Elephas maximus indicus: one gene and its partners. The protein of the gene in region 1 purifies or fractionates together with the protein of each later gene. This does not show direct contact. Links are inferred from orthologs where the notes say so. Each region holds a gene or a part of one and is shown on either strand. Other genes may lie near its edges. The genes, in order: CLCN5, TMEM9B and TMEM9.

Region 1 (6,943 bases):
CAGGTTCACAAGAGATGTAACTCCACCACCCAAGATGTTGCTGACCTTTGCTCTCGGGTACTTCACATTATTAAAACAGGCATTTTTTTCCTCCATCACCAAATATAAACCTTGTAATACTAAATATGCTTTTACAAGCTGCATTAAGTCCCAGGAAAGTTTTTATTGAGAAGAGGAAGCCAGGGAGACACTGACATCTGTCTACCCACCTTCGAGAATCCTATGATAGAAATTTTCAGGAAACCAAAGAAAAGCACAAATATAAAAAATATCCTGTTTCCTCATATATAACCCCCACAAGCACATGTTTAAATGAAAGGGAGTTCTTTTAAAATGCTTCTGGCACTAAATTTTCCTGCTACCTCCCTTCACTCCTCCACCTCTACTTTAAAATAATTTGAGCTTCTAGCTAGCAGCAGCTACTTTTAAGCTAATGTGTTTTGTCCTTGCCAAGACAAAGGGTTAAATTAAAGAAATAGCTGGCTAGCTGCCACTGGCTTGGGGGATGGGTAAGACTGGAGGATAAGAAGGAAGAAAAACCAGTTAGAGGAATAAGTGCTAATTTCTTACCCTGCCACATGGCCATCTGATACTATCTTCTCCCACACTGGGGTCACAGTCTCAGGGTTTCCTAGAGCACTCCAGTTTTGTAGAGAGTCTTGAATAGGGTGTAGATGGAAGGTGTGGTCCTGCTTTCTGGAAAATGCTAGAACCCCAACCCTGAAAATGTGAAAAGAAAAATGAATACATAAATGCAAAAATACATTTCACCTCCTTGAAAATTATCTCCTACCTCTCTCTGAATCTCTCTTTTAAAGATACGCAGACACAGGCAGTGTCACATTTCCCCCTAAGCAGCAAGGAGTTGCTGAAGAAAGAGAAAATCCGGAGACCTAGAGTCAATTAATTTTGCTACTCAGTGCTGTACAATTCTGCATGAATCAATGGATCTTGAGTAAATGGGTTTCAGAATCTCAAAGGCTGGGTGGTTGGATGAGATAACAGTTAAAGTCTTTCCCATCTTGATTTCCCATCTTGAAGTTCCACGCTTTTGGGAATGAAAAAAAAAAAAAAACCAAACCCAGTGCCATCGAGTCGATTCCGACTCATAGCGACCCTACAGAACTGAGTAGAACTGACCCACAGAGTTTCCAAGGAACGCCTGGCAGATTCGAACTGCCAAGCCTTTGGTTAGTAGCGGTAGCACTTAACCACTACGCCTCCAGGGTTTCCTTTGGGAATGAAGAGAAGAATAATATCCAACCCCTAAATACCCAACGTTACATTAAAAATCAGTAGAAAGGAGAGCAAATGTTGTGAATACCAGTTTAAGTAAAACCAAATTAATTCAGCTAATTCCTATTTTTAAAACTTCAAATCCGGTCTTAGGACAATACTCTTTGCAAAGACAGGAAAGGAGCTAAGGATGAGAGAAAAAGTGAGATGTCTGACTACTTGATTCAGAGGTTTAATATACTGAGCACTTTGCCTGTCCATTTAAACAAGTTCTTAGTCAATAAATTGGTCTTCCTTATTTAGCATACAAGCCAATCTGCTTTTTCTAAGGAAAAGTCCTCACCTTTTGACCTGGTGAACATCAAAGTAGGTTGTTATTTCCTTAGCTTTTATACAATCAAGACCTCCATCCCCAAAGTGAAACCGCTAAAACACAAACACTGAAGACCAACACTAACTTGAGAATCATCATTTTGGCCTTCTTTAATGACTTTTTCTTTTAAGGATTAATGTACACACTAGTCCCAAAATACCGATAGAGAAAAAGACAACGAAAGGTTCAGGAAGTCCAGAAAAACTGCGAACTCATATAATATATTTCCAGGATGAATTCAACAGGGAAAAAGCGCCCTGGTGACTTATCTGGAACCTGGGACAGTTTGTTTTGGTTTGCCTTCCCCCCACCCCCCACCCCCCACCCCCATTATATGTGCAGTTAAGAAGTACTGATCTGAGCCTAATGGGGCAAGGCGAAAATTTAACATCTCTGAGGTTAAACCTGGGTAGTTGCTAATAAATGCATGAAGTTTATACAAAGTGGATCTTACTGGCTTTTTTGGGCTCCAAATTTCTGGATTTCCCTTGCTTACTCGAAGGAGCTTACACGAGTGTACACGCAACTTCTCTGTAACTCCAGGAAACTGATTTGCTCTGAAATGTTAATAAAGGTAAACGCGCGTCAACGTAAAGGCAAAGCTTTCCCTTTAAGGGTAAAGGAGCTCAAGCGCAAGCCTCGAAAGTTTGGAGAGAACCATCCACTCGCGTTGAGAAACTGAAAACGTGCAGCAACTACTTTTCTGTGAGTTTGGACTCAACTTCGCTAAGACCCACACAAACCTGCAAGTCCAGCACAGGAGAGAGAAAAATGGGCCTTGACAGAGCTTTACCAGCAAAAGCCATCCTGCGCCGGTACTGGAAAGGGGACATATGCAACTAACTACTCACATTCAAAACCTGGGCGGGCTTGGCGCCGCTCCGCGAGGAACCTTCACTCAGGCAGCTCATGGACCCTTGCTCGGAGAGCAGGGTTGGGCTCCCTGGAAGATCCCGCCACACACTGGCTAGAACTAGCCTGGCTAACTCCTCCAAGTGCCAGGCAACGGCGGCTGAGTACGGGAATCACCTATCTCCAGGAGCTGAGCTGGCAGGGGAGCACTCCCCCGGAGTCGCTGCGCTCATAGGGTGCTCAGGAGGTGGGCCAGGGGCCAGCGGCGCCGCGAAGAACCTTTTGGGGAAGGGACAGCCCTTTTGTCTTTACCTGTCGCTGAGTCCGTCGCCCGCGGGCAGTGCACTCAGTTCGCTCTGAAGTCCAGGACACCAAGTTGAGCTAGCGCTCCACGTAGCCTGCAGAGCTTCATTCACACAGCCCAGCCAGGGAGGAGGGGGAACAGAGCGGGCGCGCGGCTCATGTGACAGGAGCCTCTCAAGTAGGGGCTCAGCACCGCCGACATCTGCGCGCGTGCGCGCTGAAGCCGGCCAGCTCCCTGCACCTCGGCAAAGGCAGGGACCTGCACTAGGCCAACAGGGGCGGAGAAAACTGCCGAGACAGTGTTGGGCGGAGTTTCAGCTAGCGCAGCCGCAGTAGGCGGCCCTGCTCGCTGCCATATTTAACGCGGACTGGGCGGGCCCTAACCCAGTGCTGGGCGTATCACTTGTGTAAAAAAAAGAAATGTTGCATTATGTTTCCATGTTTTCGTCTGCTGTACTTTCTTTGCTTTTGTCCTTAGAATAAAATTGTTTATCCTGAACTTCTGCACCAGAGTAGTTAATTAGCTCACGTATTTTGAACCTCTTATTATTTCAGGCACTGCTCTAATCCTTTTACTTTTTTTTTTTACCTCATTTAAAGCTCACAATAACCCGAAGGGGTTAAAAAAAAAAAAAAACCGGTGCCGTCAGGTCAATTCTGACTCATAGCGACCCTATAAGACAGTAGAATTGCCTTATGGGGATTCCAAGGCTGTAAATCGTTAAGGAAGCACACTGCCACATCTGTCTCCCCTGAAGCAGCCCATAGGTTTCAACTATGGACCTTTGAGTTGGCTGGTGCTAGAACTGCTGACCTTCTGGTCGCATAACCACTGCGACACCAAGGCTCCTTACCCCAAGGGGTATATACTATTGTTTTTCCATTTTTTGTTCATAAGAAAACAGAAACAGAAAGATTAACTTGTCTGAGATCACATATTGGTGGTAGTAATGCTTGTAGCAACCAATTTTATCCTTACAGCAACACTGGAAAATCCACACCGCAGTTATCAGTATTATCTTCATTTAAATAATTATAAAACTAAGTGTCTTAGTTATCTAGTGCTGGTATAACAGAAATACAAGTGGATGGCTTTAACAAACAGAAATTTATCCCAGCACAGTCTAGGAGGCTATAAATCTGAATTCAGGGCACAAGCTCCAGCAGAAGGCTTTCTCCCCCTGTCGGTTCTGGGGGAAGGTCCTTGTCATCAATCTTCCTCTGATCTAGGAGTTTCTCAATGCAGGGACCCTGGGTCCAAAGGAGACCTCTGCTCTGGTTCTTCTTTCTTCGTAGCTGAAGGCCCTTCTTCCTCTCTGCTCAATTCTCTCTTTTATATCTCAAAAGACACAAGATATAACCCAATCCTGTAGACTGAGTCCTACCTCATTAAGATAACTGCCTCTAATCCTGCCTCATTAACATCATAGAGGTTAGAATTTACAACACATAGGGTAATCACATCAGATTACAAAATGGTGGACAGCCACACAATACTGAGGATGGTGGCCTAGCCACACGTTTTTGGAGGACAAAATTCAATCCATAACAGTGAGGCTCAGAAAAGCAAAAGTCACAGGATTAGTAAACAGTAGAACTGGGATTCCAACCTGGGTCTTTTGACTCCAAAGCCCTGCGCCCTAGGGTTGGAAAAAACAGTTCCTCGTTTGACAGAAGAGAAAACTTAGGCCAAAGGAGGTGCGTTGAGTCGGTTAAAATGATCCCACCAATTAGTTATTGGCAGAACTGAGACTGGAATCTGTATAATCAATCCAGATAATCATACTAGAATTCAAGTATTCTAATTCAGAGTCTACTGCAGTGAACATTTTTGACTGCCTACTTTGTATTAGCTAAGTGCTAAGGGATACAGAACCTGTATCCTAACCCAATCAGCTAAAGGCCACCAAGGACAAATTTGTAGTGGGACAAAGTCAAGTTTTTTCACCCATTGCAACGAGGAAAGGGTGCTCTCGTGGCACAGTGGTTAAGAGCTCAGCTGCTAACTGAAAGGTTGGCAGTTCAAGCCCGCCAGCTGCTCCGTGTGAGAAAGATATGGCAGTGTGCTTCCATAAAGATTACAGCCTTGGAAACCCTATGGGGCAGTTCTATCCTATTCTATAGGGTCGCTGAGTTGGAATCAACTGGACGGTAAAGGGGGCAATGAGGGAAGACTGCACACTAGAGGAACATCTCACATCTTTGAGCATTTTTGGGCATCTCACCAAAGAAGAGTCATTATAGGATTTGGGAGAAGGGTGGAGTTTAGGTGAATTTTCAACAAAGCAATGTGTTTTGTAAGCTCAGAGCAAAGCAGGGTTGTGTGTAAAGGGATCAACATCAGGACTGGACTGCAAAGTGAGCCCAGAGTCCTGTTTCCTTGAGAATCACAAAGTAAAGATAGATGTGGAATGTTCTGTCCAGTTACCCCTTATCTGAAGCTCTACACCTGGTTTAAAATCAAGGCTGCTTTTCTTTGTCAAAGAAACTTAGATCCTCCAGACAAATGTGGGATGTTTTATTCTTACTAATACGATTTCAAGCAGCAAAGTTTCTGATAGTCTATGATTTTAGAGAACAAAGCTTCTCAGTGAATGAAAAAGCAATAATCACTCAAATAAAGGGGTTGTTATCATTTTACAGCTGCAGCTTGTCTTTGCGAGAAATATTGTTCCCTGTCAAATTTGTAGCTGCCTTTATCTATGTCTCTTCTCCCAGCCTGATGAATGACCGGGTGAATTTTTACTCAGTCCAAGCTAATCTTTACCTTCTCACCTGGTAACATTTAGTTCTTGCTTTGTGTGTGTAGTGGGGGTGAGGGGGTTGACACAAGTAACTAAAAAGAAACCAGGACAGGTTGTGCTGAGTCCATTGATAAACATAAACTCAAGTGGAGATAATGCATTGTACAAAGGTGTACAGGCAGGAAATCATATCTGAGGGCCTGAGAAGTCTTCTGTGACTGAAGCTTAGGGTAGGAAAATACAGGGGAGTTGTGGAAGATATACCCAGAAGATAAACTGAGACCCAATTATGGAAGATACTAAATGTTGGACTGAGATTTGTACTTAATTCAGAAAGTGATTGAGAAAGACCTAAGGTTTTTGATCAGGGCAATCCCTTTACTGGAATACTTCTTTAAGAAGGTGTATCTGAGTTTATGTTAATGGGGGAGGAACAACTCAGAAAAGGAGGGTGAGAATGGCTGTACAGCTCAAAGAATGTAATCAATGTCACTGAATTGCACATATACAAACTGTTGAATTGGTATATGTTTTGCTATGTATATTCTGAACAACAACAACAACAAAATAAATAGGAAAAAAAGGTGTGTCTGGGGTGACTCTTCAAGAAGAGGTTTGTTTGATTGCTTGCTTTTTTTCCTATCCCAGGGTAGGGGAAACTGGAGCTTCCGTCAGATTGAGCAGGAAGATCCACTCATGAGAGAGAAATTGAAGGGGCAAGAAGAGGAGGTAATTAATGGAGTAAAATGTTAGGGGAAATAGAGACAAAATACAAAATATAAGCTAACCTTAGAAAAGACACCTCTAGAGGTGGAGCCAAAATGGCAGAATAGACAGATGCTTCCAGCAAGCCCTTTTTACAACAAAGATACGAAAAAACAAGTGAAACGAGTATATTTATGACAAGCTAGGAACCCTGAGGATCAAAGGCAAGCTTAGAAAACGAACTGAGGGGCAGAGGGAGGAAGAGACAGTTCAAAAGTGGGACCTGAATCACAGGGAGTTCTCAGGCACCATTCCCGGTAGCAGCTGCAGCGGGCTGGTACTACCCTTCGGGGGCAGTTTCCTCAGGGAGAAGCAGCCAGCCACACAGCCTACTCATACCTCAGGAACCAGAGAAGAACGGTGCTCTTGGCAAAAGCTAAGTACTTGCATATATTTTACTGCCCCCCCACCCCGCCCGCCAAAGCCAGATTCAGTGGCTGACTTCCCTGGGCCTGAGATAGGCCCTGTTGAACGCCTAAAGCCATCCTCCTGTCCTTGGAGAAGGAATAAATTTGCAATTCGGAGAAAAGATACGTTGCCAACTCCACTAACCAGGGGAGCTCACTACAGAAGTGGCTCCTGTCCAGGCGTAAATGGTCCGTGGACATTGAGTACCTTTCCCCTCTGCATGGACACGTGTGGGCCATTTCAGGAGAATACGCCCTTGCTG
Region 2 (7,881 bases), on another chromosome or scaffold:
CATGGACAGAAGCAGTTGAGCTAGAGTTCTATAAGGGATGATGTTTTAGAGGCACCCAGCCATAACTAGAAAGAAACTACATAAGGGAAGTAGCTTGATTCTAGCTGAGATCAGTATGGTTTACCCTCTCCAGCAAACTTTGCTTCTAATTCCTGATACACAGTGTCTTAGCTTCTTAGTGCTGCTATAACAGAAATACCACAAGGGGGTGGCTTTAACAAACAGAAATTTACTTTCTCACAGTTTAGGCTCAAAGTCTGAATTCAGGGCACCAGTGCAGGGAAGGCTTTCTCTCTCTGTCAGCTCTGGGGGAAGGTCCTTGTCTCTTTTCAATTTCTGTTCCTAGGATGTTTCCCCCATTTGTGTTTCCTTGCTTCTATGTCTAATCTGTTCTTTTATATCTCAAAAGTGATCAGTTTAAGGCATACCGTCATGCATATGGCCTCATTAACATAACAAAGAAAACCTTATTCCCAAATGAGATTATATCCACAGGTATAGGGGTTATGATTTACAACATATTTTGGGGGGACACAGCTGAATCCATAACAAACAGGGAGGAGGGCAACTACCAACAAAGCAAGTTTCAAGAGGTGGAAGAAGAGGTGACTAAATATCTGGGTAGAGGGTGCGGGAGATGCTTCCTCAGCAAAGAGGAATCTATCTGAGATGGCAGTGGCTCTTCAGTCCCCAAAACACTGCTCCTATATACAGTGGTCTGTCTGGCAGAGATGTTCACAATTCATTTGGCAACCACTTAGTGAGCATTTGCTCTGTACCACACCTTGTGCTCTTAAAGGGGATTCAGATAAGGGTAAAACGTGGTTCCTGCCCTTAATTAGGACACACCCTAGTGAAACAGACTGATAAGTACATGATTACAATTCACTGCATAAAGTAACGGAGATATGCAGAAGGTATCAACAATGTTTTGAAAGTCAGGAGACTTGCTGCTGCTGGTGTCTGGTTGGAGACAGGAAAGGTTTCAGAAAGAATGCTTCATCAAAAATACCTGCCTGCCTGTAGCCTGTCTTTCCCCACCCCTGTATTCAAAGATGGAGCCCTGGTGGCACAGTGGTTAAAACTCGGCTGCTAACCAAAAGGCCAGCAGTTCAGATCTACCAGCCCCTCCTTGGAAACCCTATGGGGCAGTTGTACTCTGTCCTGCAGGGTCGCTATGAGTCGGAATGACTCAACAGCAGCATTTTTTTTTTTTTAAATATTCAAAGATGTTATTGATTAAAGCTCCTATTTTTAAAAATGCATTGTTTGCCCATCATGTTACGCAGGTTTCTCCTGTTTTTCCTGATAACAAGCTAGCTCATCAAGGAATGTTTTTTGTTTCTATAATGATCTCGAATCCCATAAGGTATAAGTCACTATTATGCTTTCAAAATACATACGCATAAGCACTCATAATATGAATTTGGAAATAGAAATATGTGTACCTTTGTGAGGCTCTCTATCGTTAACTATAAACCAAGAAGATGTTATTTAGAAAATTTCTGAACTTAAACAATCTAATTTCTAACCTAGAAGAAAAATGTGACATTCGGCTAATCTCTATCCCTGAAGAAATGACATAACACACTAATCTTTGACATCACATTGGCCCTTATTGTGTGAGGCAAAGGTGGAATTTCATAAATAAACCCTGAATTTCTGCTCACTCACCGAGAAAAGGCAGAGGTAAACACCTAGAGCCCACTGAAACTCTGCCTGCTACCACCAACCTCAGACCCTAGCTATGAGGGACCTCCGCTGAGTTCAAGCCGTGGTTAAGCCTTCTTCCCAAGACCTCTCATTAAAGGTAAAAGCCTGAAGCATAAAGATTTGGACTCTAACCTTTGAATTAACATTGTAATTGTTAATTCTGATTCTCTGGTTCTAAATGAATGTTGTAAGGTCTTGTGTGCCTTGCCATGACTACCCTACAACAAATTAAATGAGTTTATGGGTGACAAACCTGAGTATCTCTCTATTAACTTTCTAAGATTAAAGCCTTACATGACAAAGAGGAAGCACAAACTTGTATGGGACCAGGGCAGATATGGCGGTTAGGGGCACCATGGGAACCAGCTAGCAGCATGAGGGGACTAGAAGGAACAAGACACAGAACAGGGAAGGGCCATAATAGCACCTCTGTAGTTTGGTTCCTCCTTTGCCCAATAAATTACCAGGAAGAGGGAAGACAAGAAAGGGCCCAGGAAGTCCTGAAAGGAGTGTGGTGAGGATATTAAGCCGGAGAGAGATACTCGGTAGGTCCTTTTGGGAGGGAAAGCTGCCAGTAGGTGCAAGTTTCTACAATGGAAAGGGAATCTGTTCAGGGATGAGTTGAGATGAAAGTCAGTCGGTAAGAGAGCAGACTTCTGTGAGATGGGGGCTGCCTGTCATTTTGGCTTGGGGGTTTGGAGACCCGTGAATCTGGAGGAGGGTGGGTAGTCTCTCAGTGCTTAAGGGTGGAATGTAGGGTTGCTCTTACAGATGGAAAGGTTGTAAAGTTTGAGGTGGGTGCTGTCAGGGCTGGGATGGGAAATGTCAGTGGGGTGGGGGAGTTGCTGCTCGGGCTGTGAGGCATCGTCACGGCTGGGTAGAGAGGAGGGGTAGACTATCAAGGCTGCAGAGAGGGGAGTATTGTCTGGGCTGGGGCGGGGGTAGTGACAGTCAGACCGTCAAGGCTGGAGGGCAAGAGTGGTGCTACCAGGCTTACGGGTGGGGGTTTGCCGAGGCTATGAAGCTACGGGTCGGGCTGTCAGTGCTGGGGGAGGTAGGAGGTTGGGAGCAGGCTGACAGGCTCTGTTTTCGCAAGGCAAGGCCGAAGGCAGGGGAGGAGCTGCTGTCAGGAGCAAAGGCTGGGCGGGACTCACCTTGGCGGCGTCTGACAGCTGCACGAGGAGCAGAACCGAGAGCGCCAGGCACGACAGGCTGAGCATGGAGCCAAGGCGAAAGAGGCCTCCCCACAGGGCCGCCATCGCGGACAGGCCGAGCTGTCCCCACAGCCTGGAGCCCCGAGACCTGCTCCCGGCTCAGGCTGGGGATCTCCGGCACCTCCGCCCGCACTTCCGTCTAGGCCACCTCGTCACGGGCCGCGCCGGGTCAGCCGCAAAAAGCATCCGCCCCGGAAACGGTTCCCGGTGCTAAGGGACCGGAGGCTGCGCGGTCCGGGCGCCTGGGCCGGCCAACGCTCGGGCCCCAGAACGGAAAGAGGCCTCTTCGGGGTGGCAGCCTCGGCCCGGCGGGGTTTTGAGGCGCTTGGATATCTTTCCCGGGCGCAGCAGCGACAGGAGCTAGTGGAGCCGCCAGTGTGCTGTACCGCTCTCCAGCAATCCATGCGGAGCCGGGGCTGTTGCCAGCCTCCGGAGACCCGGGTGAGCTCGCGTCCCAGGATTTGCCGGGAGCGCCGCCCATCCCAGCCGGCGCAGGCAGGGCGCGAGCTAGGAGTGGGGACGGGCCCGGGACTGGCCGAGGCATCCCCTCGGCGAAGCTCGCCCCCAGTCGGGGGTCGGGGGTCGTCTCCCGGGCCTTGGGTACGAGCCCGCAGCTGGGCGCCTCCCCGACACGGCTCCTGCCGGCTTTCCGCGTCTCCGAGAGATGCCGTAGCGAGTTTGATCTCGGCTTGAGGCTCCCGGCCCGCCTCCTGATGGGAGCTGCTGCAGGAACTGGGCCACAGCGGCGGGGCTGGGCCAGGCCGGGCTCCGGAAGGTGTGGAGTTGGCGAAAGAACCGCCCTAGCAGCCTCCTTCGCCAAGGACTCCAGGAGGTGGGGAATCGTGGCGCTACGCCCCGGCGAGGCAGTGCCTATTCGGGGCGGCTGGCTCCTACATCGAAGCTGGGGGGACGCTGACCGATCTTCCCGGGGCGGGTCCGGAGTACTCTGCAGATGGCCGTGTCTCCCACTGAAGTATTTTTCGGTTAGTGGAAGTAGTGGAAAGATGCAGGGCTCATCAGCCACCACCGATTTGCTGAATGACCTTGGGCAAATAACTTCCCCTCGCTTGTCTGTAATGTGAGGGGATTAAACGCCATCTGTGGGTTTGAAATTCTGCTCCCATGGAATACCCGTTTTTCTGTCTGTAAACAAGTTTTAAAGGTAGCCTTTTCCGAGTTCGTGGAAATGTTTTAATTAACGGACACGATTTTCTCCATTTTTTTCTCCCATGTGATTTTTGTTGATACTAGAATCTGACACCTTCTTGTGTTGTTGCATTAAATGTATTTAGCCCTTTTCAGTCTCAAATGGCAAGTGGTGCCCAGCCCCAACCAGAACCAGAGCGGCAGGACTGAATGATCTCTCACCACGGCCATTTCAGGGTGCTCTGTGAACATGCTGAAACATTAGTGAATTAATCAGGCTTTTGTAGTGGGTGTTCTGCTGGCCAGGGGACAGTCTGGAGACACCCAGGGTCAAATATGTCTGACTGTGAGGCACTGGATCTATGACTGCTAAAAGCTAATTCAGCGGCAAATTTGTGATGAGTTGATTTCATCAGGATCAATTTCCAGGTTTGGCATCTGAAGGGAGTGCTCATTCTTTGGCTGAAACCTCATAAGGCTTCTCTTCCTTCTTCAAAATTGTTCTCAGGGCTTTGAATGGGAGTATACAGGCTTAGAGGAAATATATAGTAATACCCTGGTCTGATGGGCCTCAGCTGTTTAAAGGAGAAGTGCCAACTACACTCAGCCGGTGCTGTCCAATACGGTAACCCCTAGCCACAGGTGCCGTTTGAGCACGTGCACATGGCTAGCCTGAATTGAGATGTGCTGTAAGTGCAAAATATACATTGAATTTCAGACTTTGTACAAAAAAAAAAAAAAATGCAAAATATCCCAATTGTGTAATAATTACGGTCGAAGTGATATTTTAGGTATATTGTGTTAAATAAAATATATTATTAAAATAATTTCACTTGTTTCTTTTTACTTTTTAAGTGTAGGCAGCACCATTCTAGAATATAGAATGTGGCTGCCATGAGAGGGGTATGACTGAAAAATGACTGCCTAGATGGAGACTGAATGAAGACTCAGGTCAGAGTTAGGACTGAGGGGACAAGGAAAAACTGACACAGCTACAGCGGAGGGTTTGGGGGACGTATATGTCTGCCAACAAGTGAATATAGTTTTAGGGGATTCAATAGAAGTGAAGGAGTCAGTTCTTATTCTGCACTGCCCATACCTAGATAGCGCTTACTTTTCCTTTTCCTCAGGAGTCTTCTAAGCCAGAAAGCATTCCTTGACTTAAATGCACTCCCTTCCGGGTTTATGCAGTTCTCTTTCCTAACTTACCCCATTATAGTAACATTGTGTCTCCATATCTGCCTCTATACTCCCAGCCTCCCCTCCTCTTTGAGAGCAGGGACCTTGTCTTATTTATCTTCGTACCTACAGAGACTGGGTGTCGTGGATTAAATTATGTCCCCCCCCCCGCCCAAAATGTGTATCAACTTGATTAAGCCATATGTGGTTGTCCTCCATTTTGTGATTTTATGTTAAGAGAGTTAGGGTGGGATTATAATACCACTCTTACTCGGATCATCTCCCTGATCCAATGTAAAGGGAATTTCCCCGAGATGTACCCTGCTCCACCTTTTCTCTCTCAAGAGATAAAAGGACAGGGAAGCAAGCAGAGAGCTGGGGACCTCATATCACCCAGAAAGCAGCACCAGGAGCAGAGCACGTCCTTTGGACATGGGGTGCCTGCACCTGAGAAACTCCTCAACCAGGGGAAGATTGAGGACAAGGACCTTCCTCCAGAGCTGACAGAAAGCCTTCCCCTGGATTTGGACTTGTAACCTACTAAACTATGAGAGAATAAATTTCTCTTTGTTAAAGCCACCCACTGGTGGTATTTCTATTATGGCAGCACTAGAGGCCTAAGACGCTGGGACAGAGTAAAAACCAATAAATGTTTGTGGAGACCAGGGAAAAGCAAAAGGAGGATGAGGGAGGCTCCTCTGGTCAGCCTGAGAGAAAAGTATCAGGTACCTTTCTGGCCACTAGAGGGCAATGCTGAAATGCCCAAAGGAGAGGTACAGATGGTAGGACCCGGGCACTATATTAGGCAGGAGAGGGGAGATTTCTGACCTAAGGTCTTCCTAGACCTTCAGGTCACATGAGGGTTGTTCTGTTTACAGGAAGGACTGGCCCCTTAGTGAGAACCTGCTCCTTTCCCCTTCCCTTTCTATGCTTCCCTGTGACTAGGTTTCCCTACTCCATTCCTCTTTAAGGAGTGACACAGGCCCAAGTGCATCCTCCCACCTAACCTAGGCTCTCTTCTTTGTGAGGCCTGAAAAATTTTCTGGGGGGGGATGGTTGAGAGAAGAGGAGCCTTCTCTAAATTTAAGCATGGAAGTCAGAAGGTTAGGAAGCAGAAGTGGCAATTTATGTATCTGGGACAAATGGATGACAAGGACCAAGGCTATGCCAGCTCTAGATAGTCTGCAGCCCCATTATCCTCTTTCCCTTCCAGTGGTCAAACAGCGCTCTGGACACCCCTTTCTTTCTTATTCTTCCACTCCATCTTTTCTGGTCTTCCCAGCACTTGCTCAGGCCATACCAGCCTGGAAGTACAAATGGAGTCATGCACAGCATCAATGATGATTTCCCTGGATTGTGCCTCCACTGGTTAGGACAGGATTCACATACACACACATACCCTGAAGTACTTCTGAGCATACCCTGGAAACGTCTGATAATGAGCCCTCTTGTTTACCATGTGCACCTGCTAGGATGCTCCCTCTTACTTGCCCCCTTTAGTGAGATCTGCCCTCTACTACATATGAAGCCACATAAGTGTATCATGCCACTGCTGTACCTTGCTAGTGCCCACCATAATAACAGCAATGCACAGGGCCATAATATTATCTCTGTTCCTTGAGCTGCTGGTCCCACTACTGCTGGCAAGTTACTGGAGCCCCTAAATAACAAAGCAACACAAGGTCCATACCAAACTAGGGAGAATTTTTAGTTTCTTTCAGAAGGGTATTAAACTATCATTTGTTTCCCAGTGTCTTACAATACTTATGAAAAGGGCCTGAGGGTTATGAACATGAATTTAAAATAAGACTAGTCACCCGGTTCCTGCACAGATATAGGCAATTAGGTAAATAGCTAGCTTTAGCTAAAGTGGTTTTGTGAAGTATGACAAGAGAAGGTAATCTGTGTTAAAATTACATGTATGTGAATGATGATGATGACTGAATGTGGAATTTAAGTTGGTTAAGAAGAGAGGAAGGAACCCTGGTAGTGCAATGGTTAAGTGCTTGGCTGTTAACTGAAAGGTTGGGGATTTGAAACCACCAGCCACTCTTTGGAGCAAAGACCTGGCGATCTGCTCCTGTAAAGATTACATCCTGGGAAACCCTACAGGGCAGTTTTATTCTGTCCTATAGGATCACTAAAAGTCAGAATCAACTTGACAGCACAGGAGGGACAAGAGGAACTCAGAGAAGTGAGGAACAATGAAACAGTAGTAGTCAAATGATTATTGGAGTCATGTTACTAGGAGATAGCTGGAAAGATAGAAGGTGGTGCTCGGACAGTGAGATACATTAAGCTGAGATTATGGCTAGGTTAGTTTTTGGTAATAAATAACATCTAAGGTAGGACCATGGGAGTAAATGGCTGAGAATGGTAGAGGATAACTGATATTCAAGAAACCAATATATCAGGGTATTAAAAGGTTCGGCCATGTATGTAATTAAATGGCAAGAGTTAAATCAGTAGCAGTGTTGGAGAGAGTGAAGTGAGCCAGGAGCTAAAATTTTATTGAGAAATGAAAGGGAATGACCCAAGGGTCTATAGATAATAGCAACAATGAAGGGAAGTAGGGGATATAATTTGATGGCATGAGACTGAAAGCTGGGGAGTTTTATAGGAAGATGGA
Region 3 (7,184 bases), on another chromosome or scaffold:
AGTCTTGGAAACCCTATGGGACAATTCTATTCTGCCCTATATAGGGTCAGTATGAGTCAGATTCGACCCCACAGCAACAGGTTAATCTGCCCCTCAGGAATCCCAAAATATCAAAGCTGAAAGTTACCTTAGTATCTGTCTTAGTTATCTAATGCTGCTGTACCAGAAATACTACAAGTGGCTGCCTTCAAGAAAGAGAAATTTATTCTCTCACAGTTTAAAACTGAAAACCAAACCGTTGCCACAAGTCAATTCTGACTCATAGCAAGTTTAGGAGGGCAGAAGTCCAAATTCAGTGCGCCAGATCCAGGGGACAGTAGTGAGATGAAATGGACTGGTACTGGCCATTTTGAATCAGACAATCATACGGTCTACTATGCCATGAATGACAAATTGAAGAGGAATGCTGTTGCATTCATCATTAAAAATAATACTTCAAGATCCATCCTGAAGTACAATGCTGTCAGTGATAGGATAATATCCATACACCTACAAGAAAGACTATTATTTAAAATATAGTCCTATGACTGTACAACTATTAATAATACGACTATATTTCAAATGTACACACCAACCACCAAGGCCAAAGATGAAGAAATGGAAGATTTTTTACCAATTTCTGTAGTCTGAAATTGATCGAACATGCAATCAAGATGCATTGATAATTATTGATGATTGGAATGCACCAGAAATTGGAAACAAAAAAGAAAGATCAGTAGTTAGAAAATATGGTCTTGGTGATAGAAATGATGCCGGAGATTGCATGATAGAATTTTGCAAGACCAACAACTTCTTCATTGCAAATATGTTTTTTCAACAACATGAATGCCAACTACACATGTGGACCTCACTGGATAAATACACAGGAAACAAATCGACTACATCTGTGGAAAGAGACAATGGAAAATCTCAGCATCATCAGTCAGAACGAGGCTGGGGCTGACTGTGAAACAGACAATCAGTTGCTCATACGAAAGTTCAGGTTGAAGCTGGAGAAAATTAGAACGAGTCCACTAGAACCAGAGTATGATCTTGAGTCTATCCCACCTGAATTTAGAGACCATCTCAGGAAGAGATTTGATGCGTTGAACACTAATGACCGACACCAGACGAGTTGTGGAATGACATTGAGGACATCATACATGAAGAAAGCAAGAGGTCATTAAAAAGACAAGAAAGAAAGGAAAGACCAAAATGGATATCAGAAGACAATTTGGAACTTGCTCTTTAATGTGAAGTAGCTAAAGCAAACAGAAGAAAGGATGAAGTAAAAGTGTCGAACAGAAGATTTCAAAGGGTGGCTCAAGAAGACAAAGTAAAATATAACAACGTGTGCAAAGACCTAGAGTTAGAAAACCAAATGGAAGAACATGCTCAGTGTTTCTCAAGCTGAAAGAACTGAAGAAAAAATTCCAGCCTTGAGTTGCAATTATTGAAGGATTCTAGGGGCAAAATACTGAACGACGCAGGAAGCATTAAAAGAAGGTGGAAGGAATACACGGAGTCATTGTACCAAAAAGAATTGGTCGACATTCAATCATTTCAGGAGGTAGCATATGATTAAGAACTGATGATACTAAGGAAGAAGTCCAAGCTGCTCTGAAGACATTGGCGAAAATCAAGGCTTCAGAAATTGATGGAATACCAACTGAGATGTTTGAACAAATGGATGCATCGCTCTAAGTGCTCACTCATTTATGTCAAGAAATTTGGAAGATCGCTAACTGGCCAACCAACTGGAAGAGATACTTATGCCTATGCCAAAGAAAGGTGATTCAACAGAATGTGGAAATTATCAAACAATATCATTAATATCACATGCAAGTAAAATTTTGCTAAAGATTATCCAAAAGCAGATGCAGCTGTACATCAGCAGAGAACTGCCAGAAATTCAAGCCAGATTCAGAAGAGGACGTGGAACAGGAGACATCATTGCTGGTGTCAGATGGATCCTGGCTGAAAGCAAAGAATGCCAGAAGGATTTTTACCTGTGTTTTATTGACTACGCAAAGGCATTCAACTGTGTGGATCCTGATAAATTATGAATAACATTGCAAAGAATGGAAATTCCAGAACGCTTCAATTGTGCTCATGAGGAACCTATACATAGGCCAAGAGCCAGTTGTCTGAACAGAACAAGGGAATACCGCATGGTTTAAAGCCAGGAAAGGTGTGTGTCAGGATCGTACCCTTTCTGCATACTTATTCAATCTGTATGCTGAGCGAATAATCAGAGAAGCTGGACTATATGAAGAACAGGGCATCAGGATTGGAGGAAGACTCAACAACAACCTGTGATATGCAGATGACACAACCTTGCTTGCTGAAAGAGAACTTGAAGCACTTACCGATGAAGACCAAAGACCACAGCCTTCAGTATGTATTATACCTCAACATAAAGAAAACAAAAATCCTCACAACTGGGCCAATAAGCAATACCATGATAAACGGAGAAAAGACTGAAGTTGTCGAGGATTTCATTTTACTTGGATCCACAATCAATGCCCAGGGAAGTAGCAGTCAAGAAATCAAACAATGCATTGCATTGGGCAAATCTACTGCAAAAAACATCTTTAAAGTTTTAAAAACCAAAGATGTCACTTTAAGGACTAAGGCGTGCCTGACCTAAATCATGGTGTTTTCAATAGCCTCATGCATGAGAAAACTGGACAATGATTAAGGAAAACCGAGGAAGAATCAATGCCTTTGAATTATGGTTTTGGCCAAAAATATTGAATATACCATTAACTGCAAAAGAATGAACAAATCCATCTTGGAAGAAGTACAGCCAGAATGCTCCTCAGATGCAAGAGTGGCAAGGCTTCGTGTCACATACTTTGGACTTGTTATCAGGAGGGACCAAGCTTAATATCCCTGGAGAAGGATATTAAGCTTGGCAAAGTAGAGGGTCAGCAAAAAAAAGAGGAAGACCCTCAATGAGGTGGATTGACACAGTGGCTGCAACAATGGACTCAAGCATAACAAAATTATGAGAGTTGGCATGGAACTGGGCAGTGTTTCGTTCTGTTGCACATAGTGTTGCTATGAGTCAGAACCAACTTGACAGCATCTAACAACAACAATAGCTCCAAGGGAAGGTTTTCTCTCTCTCTCTTTTGGCTCTGGGGGAGGGTCCTTGTCATTGATGTGCCTGGTCTAGGAGCTTCTCAGTGCAGGGACCCCTGATCCAAAGGATGCACTTGTGTCCCGGAGCTTCTTGCTTCGTAGTGAGAGATCCCTCTCTCTCTCCTCACTTGTGTCTCCTTTTATCTCTTGTGAGATAATAGGTGATGCAGGCCACACCTCAGAGAAACTCCCCTTACATCCTGTCAGGGCTGTGATCTGAGTAAGGGTGTTGCATCCCATCCTGATTCCCTTTAACATAACCTAATCTTGTCTCATTACTAACTCATAACCACAGGCAGAGATTAGGACTTAAAACTCATACGAAAATTACATCAGATCACAAAATGGAGAACAATCACACAATACTGGGAATCATGGCCTAGCCAAGTTGACACACATTTCTGGGAGACACAGTTCAGTCCATAATAGTATCCAACCAATTCCTAAGGAAACTGAGGCCCAGAGAGAGGAGATATCTTTTCCGGGGCAGCACACGCCTGGCCTGGCATATCAGCACGGAGACTGTTGTGCCCATTGCCACCCCTGGTTTCCTCCTTTTCCTCAGGGGTTGGGAGGGTGGTGTGTGTGTGTGTGTGTGCGTGCGTGCGTGCGTGTGTGTGTTTGTGTGTGTGTGTGTGAGTGAGAGATGCTGGGTAATGTCCTCTGTAGCAAAGGTGTGGATCCCTGAACACTTCCAAATCGTGAATGAGGACGAAGACCTCATCATTTACCATCATTATTGTTGTTGTTATTATTTTATAGTTTATAAAATGCTTTCTCCTTAAAATAGCAAGACGAACAAGCACTGTAGTACGGGTTTTACAGGCCACAAAGGTAAAACCCTTCAGCATTTCTAGTTCAGAAGGCTGACGTTCCTTTTCTTATTTGATTGAGTTTGAGAATTGTCTCTCTCTCCCTTGAGCGAGCCTTCTCGCCCTGGCGAAGGTGGGACTTGTTGCCTTGGCGACGGCGAGGTTAGACTGAGCGGCTGCTCTGGCAGCCAATAGAAGCCGGAAGAGGGCGGGCCTGCAGAGTCCGGTGCGGCCGTGGCTGGGCCCGGAGGTACGCGGCTGGCGTGTAGGGGGTTGTTATGGGGGGTCGCGGGAGTCCCGGCGGGGGGTCCCAGCCCGGCCCGAGATCCCTGGACGCGGTGGGCAGTGGGGTTCGGCGTCGAATCAGGGCTCCCAGACTCTGCCCCCAAAGTTCCCGTCGGGCCTACGTGGGGAGGAGCTGCCGGGACGGGCGGAGGTGGAGATGGCGGAGGGCGTTGGGGCGCGCTGTGCGAGGGGCAGAGTCGGGCCCTGTCGGAGCAACTCTAGGCCCGGTTAGGCCGTGTCCCCTGGGGGCCCGGACCCCTGGGGCCGCCCTTTGCAGGCCTTACCGGGTGGACAATGGAGAGGCGGAGCCTTGGCGGGGGTGGGGTGGGGGGAGAAAGCAGCATTTGGGGACCGGGCTCGGGTAGCCCTGGAATCCGGGAGCCCAGCCACCAACCCCATTCCTACATCTGGCTGTGGTGTGCCTTCCTCCTCCCCGACTCTGTCTCTTTTCCAGGTGTCCCGTCTTACTGGCCCAGCGAGCCTGAGTAAGCATGAAGCTCCTATCTTTCGTGGCCGTAGTCGGCTGTTTGCTGGTACTCCCAGCTCAAGCCAGCAAGGTGAGCACCCATGCACGACGGCCCTATGTACAGGGCTTCCCCAGAGGTAGCTGCTGCTCAGACCCTGCCCCTCACTCTTCTGTGGGCCGTGCTTTTGAGGGCGTGTTCTCTTAGGCTCGGGGCTGCAGGACTTCCTAAGGGTAGAGCCAGTGAGAGTGGGCTGGGGAGAGGTCGGCGGCCAGGATGGTGCTGGATCAGACAGGCTGGAGGCGGAATTCCAGCAAGGGAGTTCGTGTCTGGGAAGTTGTTCTCCACACACACGGCAAACTCCTGTGTAAAATGGGCGTGGTTATAATATCTATGGGGGTCTCTGGGTGGCGGTAAACAGATAAATCCTCAGCTCAACTACTAGCTGAAAGGTTAGCTGGTGGTTGGAACGCACCCAGTGGTGCCCCAGAAGACAGGCCTGGAGATCTGCTTCTGAAAGGTTGCAGCTTTGAAAACCCAATGGAGCAGTTCTACTCTGCGCACATGGGGTCACCAGGAGTCACAATCGACTCAACAGCAACTAACAACGACATAATATGCACTACTTAGGAAGAGTCAAATTACGTAATGTAAAAATGTGTTATAAGTGTAAATCCCTATACAGATGGAAGTTTCTGTTAGTAAAGGGCGACCCACTAGCCGTGGGACACCTGAGTAACTTCCCTTCTGTAAGGGCAAGAGATTTAGAGCTGGGTCTGGGTGGGTCCACGGAATTTGAGATTTGAAGGCTTTGAAGTAAGGTTGAGTTTGAGGGTTTGTTTGCATTCCGTCTGGGGAATTCTTGATTGGAATGATAATAATTGTGGTGCTGTCTCTGATCCATTCCAGAGGGAAAGAACTTTAAGTGAGGCTACTTGAATATTCCCGTGGAAAAACCCACATTTCCTTACTAACCCCCAGCCCTTTCCTTCCAACACTCCTAGCCTAGGAAGTTGGAGATGGAATGAGGGTGGGAGGTGGGCAGAGGTGCACACAGACATGCGGGACCCAGGACATAGGGTCCCAAGCATCCCACTTAGGAAATGACTGTTCTCAACAGCTTTGTGTGAGTCTCATTTGCCGGTTGGACAGTTTCTGTCTTGAGGGCCCTGTGATGTAGCACCTTTCCTACAGAGGTCATTGGAGGTGGAGAAAGATCAGAAGCGTACATACAGAACAGGGAGCTCAGAGTCAGAAGCCTTGCTAGAACTGAACCCTGGGGCCCGTCTACCTCGGCTGTGTTTTTTCTTCCAGAGTTCTGAAGATATTCGGTGCAAATGCATCTGTCCACCCTATAGAAACCTCAGTGGGAACATTTACAACCAGAATGTGTCACAGAAGGACTGGTAAGGCGTTACGTGGGCTGGCCCCTTGGCTGCTCAGCCTAGTTCAGGTTATGGGTGTTTACTAGGATCCTTGGAACTCCTGGAGGATAAGCTTGCTCTCCCATTTCTATAGAGAGCCTGAGAAAGGAATATTTTGTCCAGAGATACACAGCCAGTTGGAAACAGGACCCAGATGTCTTGAATTCCAGCTGAGGGGTTCCTCGTCAGAAGAGTGAACTGTATTGTTTTGCTTTGAATTGGGGTCTTGACTGATGTATGCAGAATGGAAATAGAGTAGTTGGGCGAGGTAAGTGTTATGGCCATGGACTTTTTCAAAGCCCTGTTATGTGAGTGATTTTGTGCCAGTCTCTCAACACCCTTGTAAGGTAAATGGGATGGGTATTGGTCCCTTTGTATAATTGCAGAGACTGAACCCCAGAGAGAGAATCTAAATTATACTAAAAACTACTGAAGTCTTAATTAATTTCTGGGTGCCTTACTTTAAAAGATGAAGAAATAAGAATTCACTCAGAGAAGGGAGACGAAGCTTGGGAGGTGGGAGTTTCAGCATGTCCTAGAGGAATTATTTAAGGAGCTAGAAATAGCCTGGAGGGCTTGGGGACCCCTGAGTGGCTGAAGAGACTGTGAGGAGGGCTGGCATGCTGTGGCGGATGGGAGTACGAGGGGAGTGGAGGATTTTGTAGGACTCAGTTATGTTCAATGTGTAGATTTGGGGCCAGGGCTTGAAGCCTTCAGGCAAATTTAAATGTGAGTGGAGGGAGGGTTTGTAATCCAGGCTGTTTCCGGATCCTCCTTGGAGGGATCTGAGCACAGATGGGATGACACCTTGATCAGGCACAGTAGAAGAGATGAACATCGGATGGCAGTCTGGGCCATGTTTCCTATACTTGGTTGTAAATTAGGATCATCAGGTGAGCTTTGGGGAAATTCAAGTTCCCAGCACCTTCTCCCACTCCCTGTCCCCCGCCCCACGATTGAGACTCAGTAAACACGGGATGAGGGGCAGTGACCTTTCTTCACGCTGCTTAGATGATCATGATGCCGTTAACCCAGAGCAGCATTTGGGAACTTTGAAACTGACTGGATTTCTA

What was found.
Region 2: the proteins of CLCN5 (region 1) and TMEM9B purify together in Homo sapiens (co-immunoprecipitation; 3 studies listed by BioGRID and IntAct, counting the BioPlex papers as one, with this or other methods). This does not show direct contact. The link is inferred for Elephas maximus indicus from reciprocal best matches to the Homo sapiens genes CLCN5 and TMEM9B.
Region 3: the proteins of CLCN5 (region 1) and TMEM9 purify together in Homo sapiens (co-immunoprecipitation; 3 studies listed by BioGRID and IntAct, with this or other methods). This does not show direct contact. The link is inferred for Elephas maximus indicus from reciprocal best matches to the Homo sapiens genes CLCN5 and TMEM9.

Annotation. Positions count from the first base shown.
Region 1 is NC_064846.1:121,757,464-121,764,406, forward strand, and holds the start of CLCN5 (H(+)/Cl(-) exchange transporter 5), read right to left. Parts: upstream 3,041-6,943; 5' UTR 2,774-3,040; intron 2,167-2,773; 5' UTR 2,064-2,166; intron 721-2,063; 5' UTR 587-720; coding exon 571-586; intron 1-570. UniProt on the Homo sapiens protein: Proton-coupled chloride transporter. Functions as antiport system and exchanges chloride ions against protons. Important for normal acidification of the endosome lumen. May play an important role in renal tubular function.
Region 2 is NC_064825.1:64,171,790-64,179,670, forward strand, and holds the start of TMEM9B (transmembrane protein 9B), read right to left. Parts: upstream 3,094-7,881; 5' UTR 2,973-3,093; coding exon 2,868-2,972; intron 1-2,867. UniProt on the Homo sapiens protein: Enhances production of pro-inflammatory cytokines induced by TNF, IL1B, and TLR ligands. Has a role in TNF activation of both the NF-kappaB and MAPK pathways.
Region 3 is NC_064836.1:9,656,110-9,663,293, reverse strand, and holds the start of TMEM9 (proton-transporting V-type ATPase complex assembly regulator TMEM9), read left to right. Parts: upstream 1-4,095; 5' UTR 4,096-4,188; intron 4,189-4,262; exon of another isoform or gene 4,263-4,450; intron 4,451-4,677; 5' UTR 4,678-4,714; coding exon 4,715-4,780; intron 4,781-6,001; coding exon 6,002-6,093; intron 6,094-7,184. UniProt on the Homo sapiens protein: Transmembrane protein that binds to and facilitates the assembly of lysosomal proton-transporting V-type ATPase (v-ATPase), resulting in enhanced lysosomal acidification and trafficking.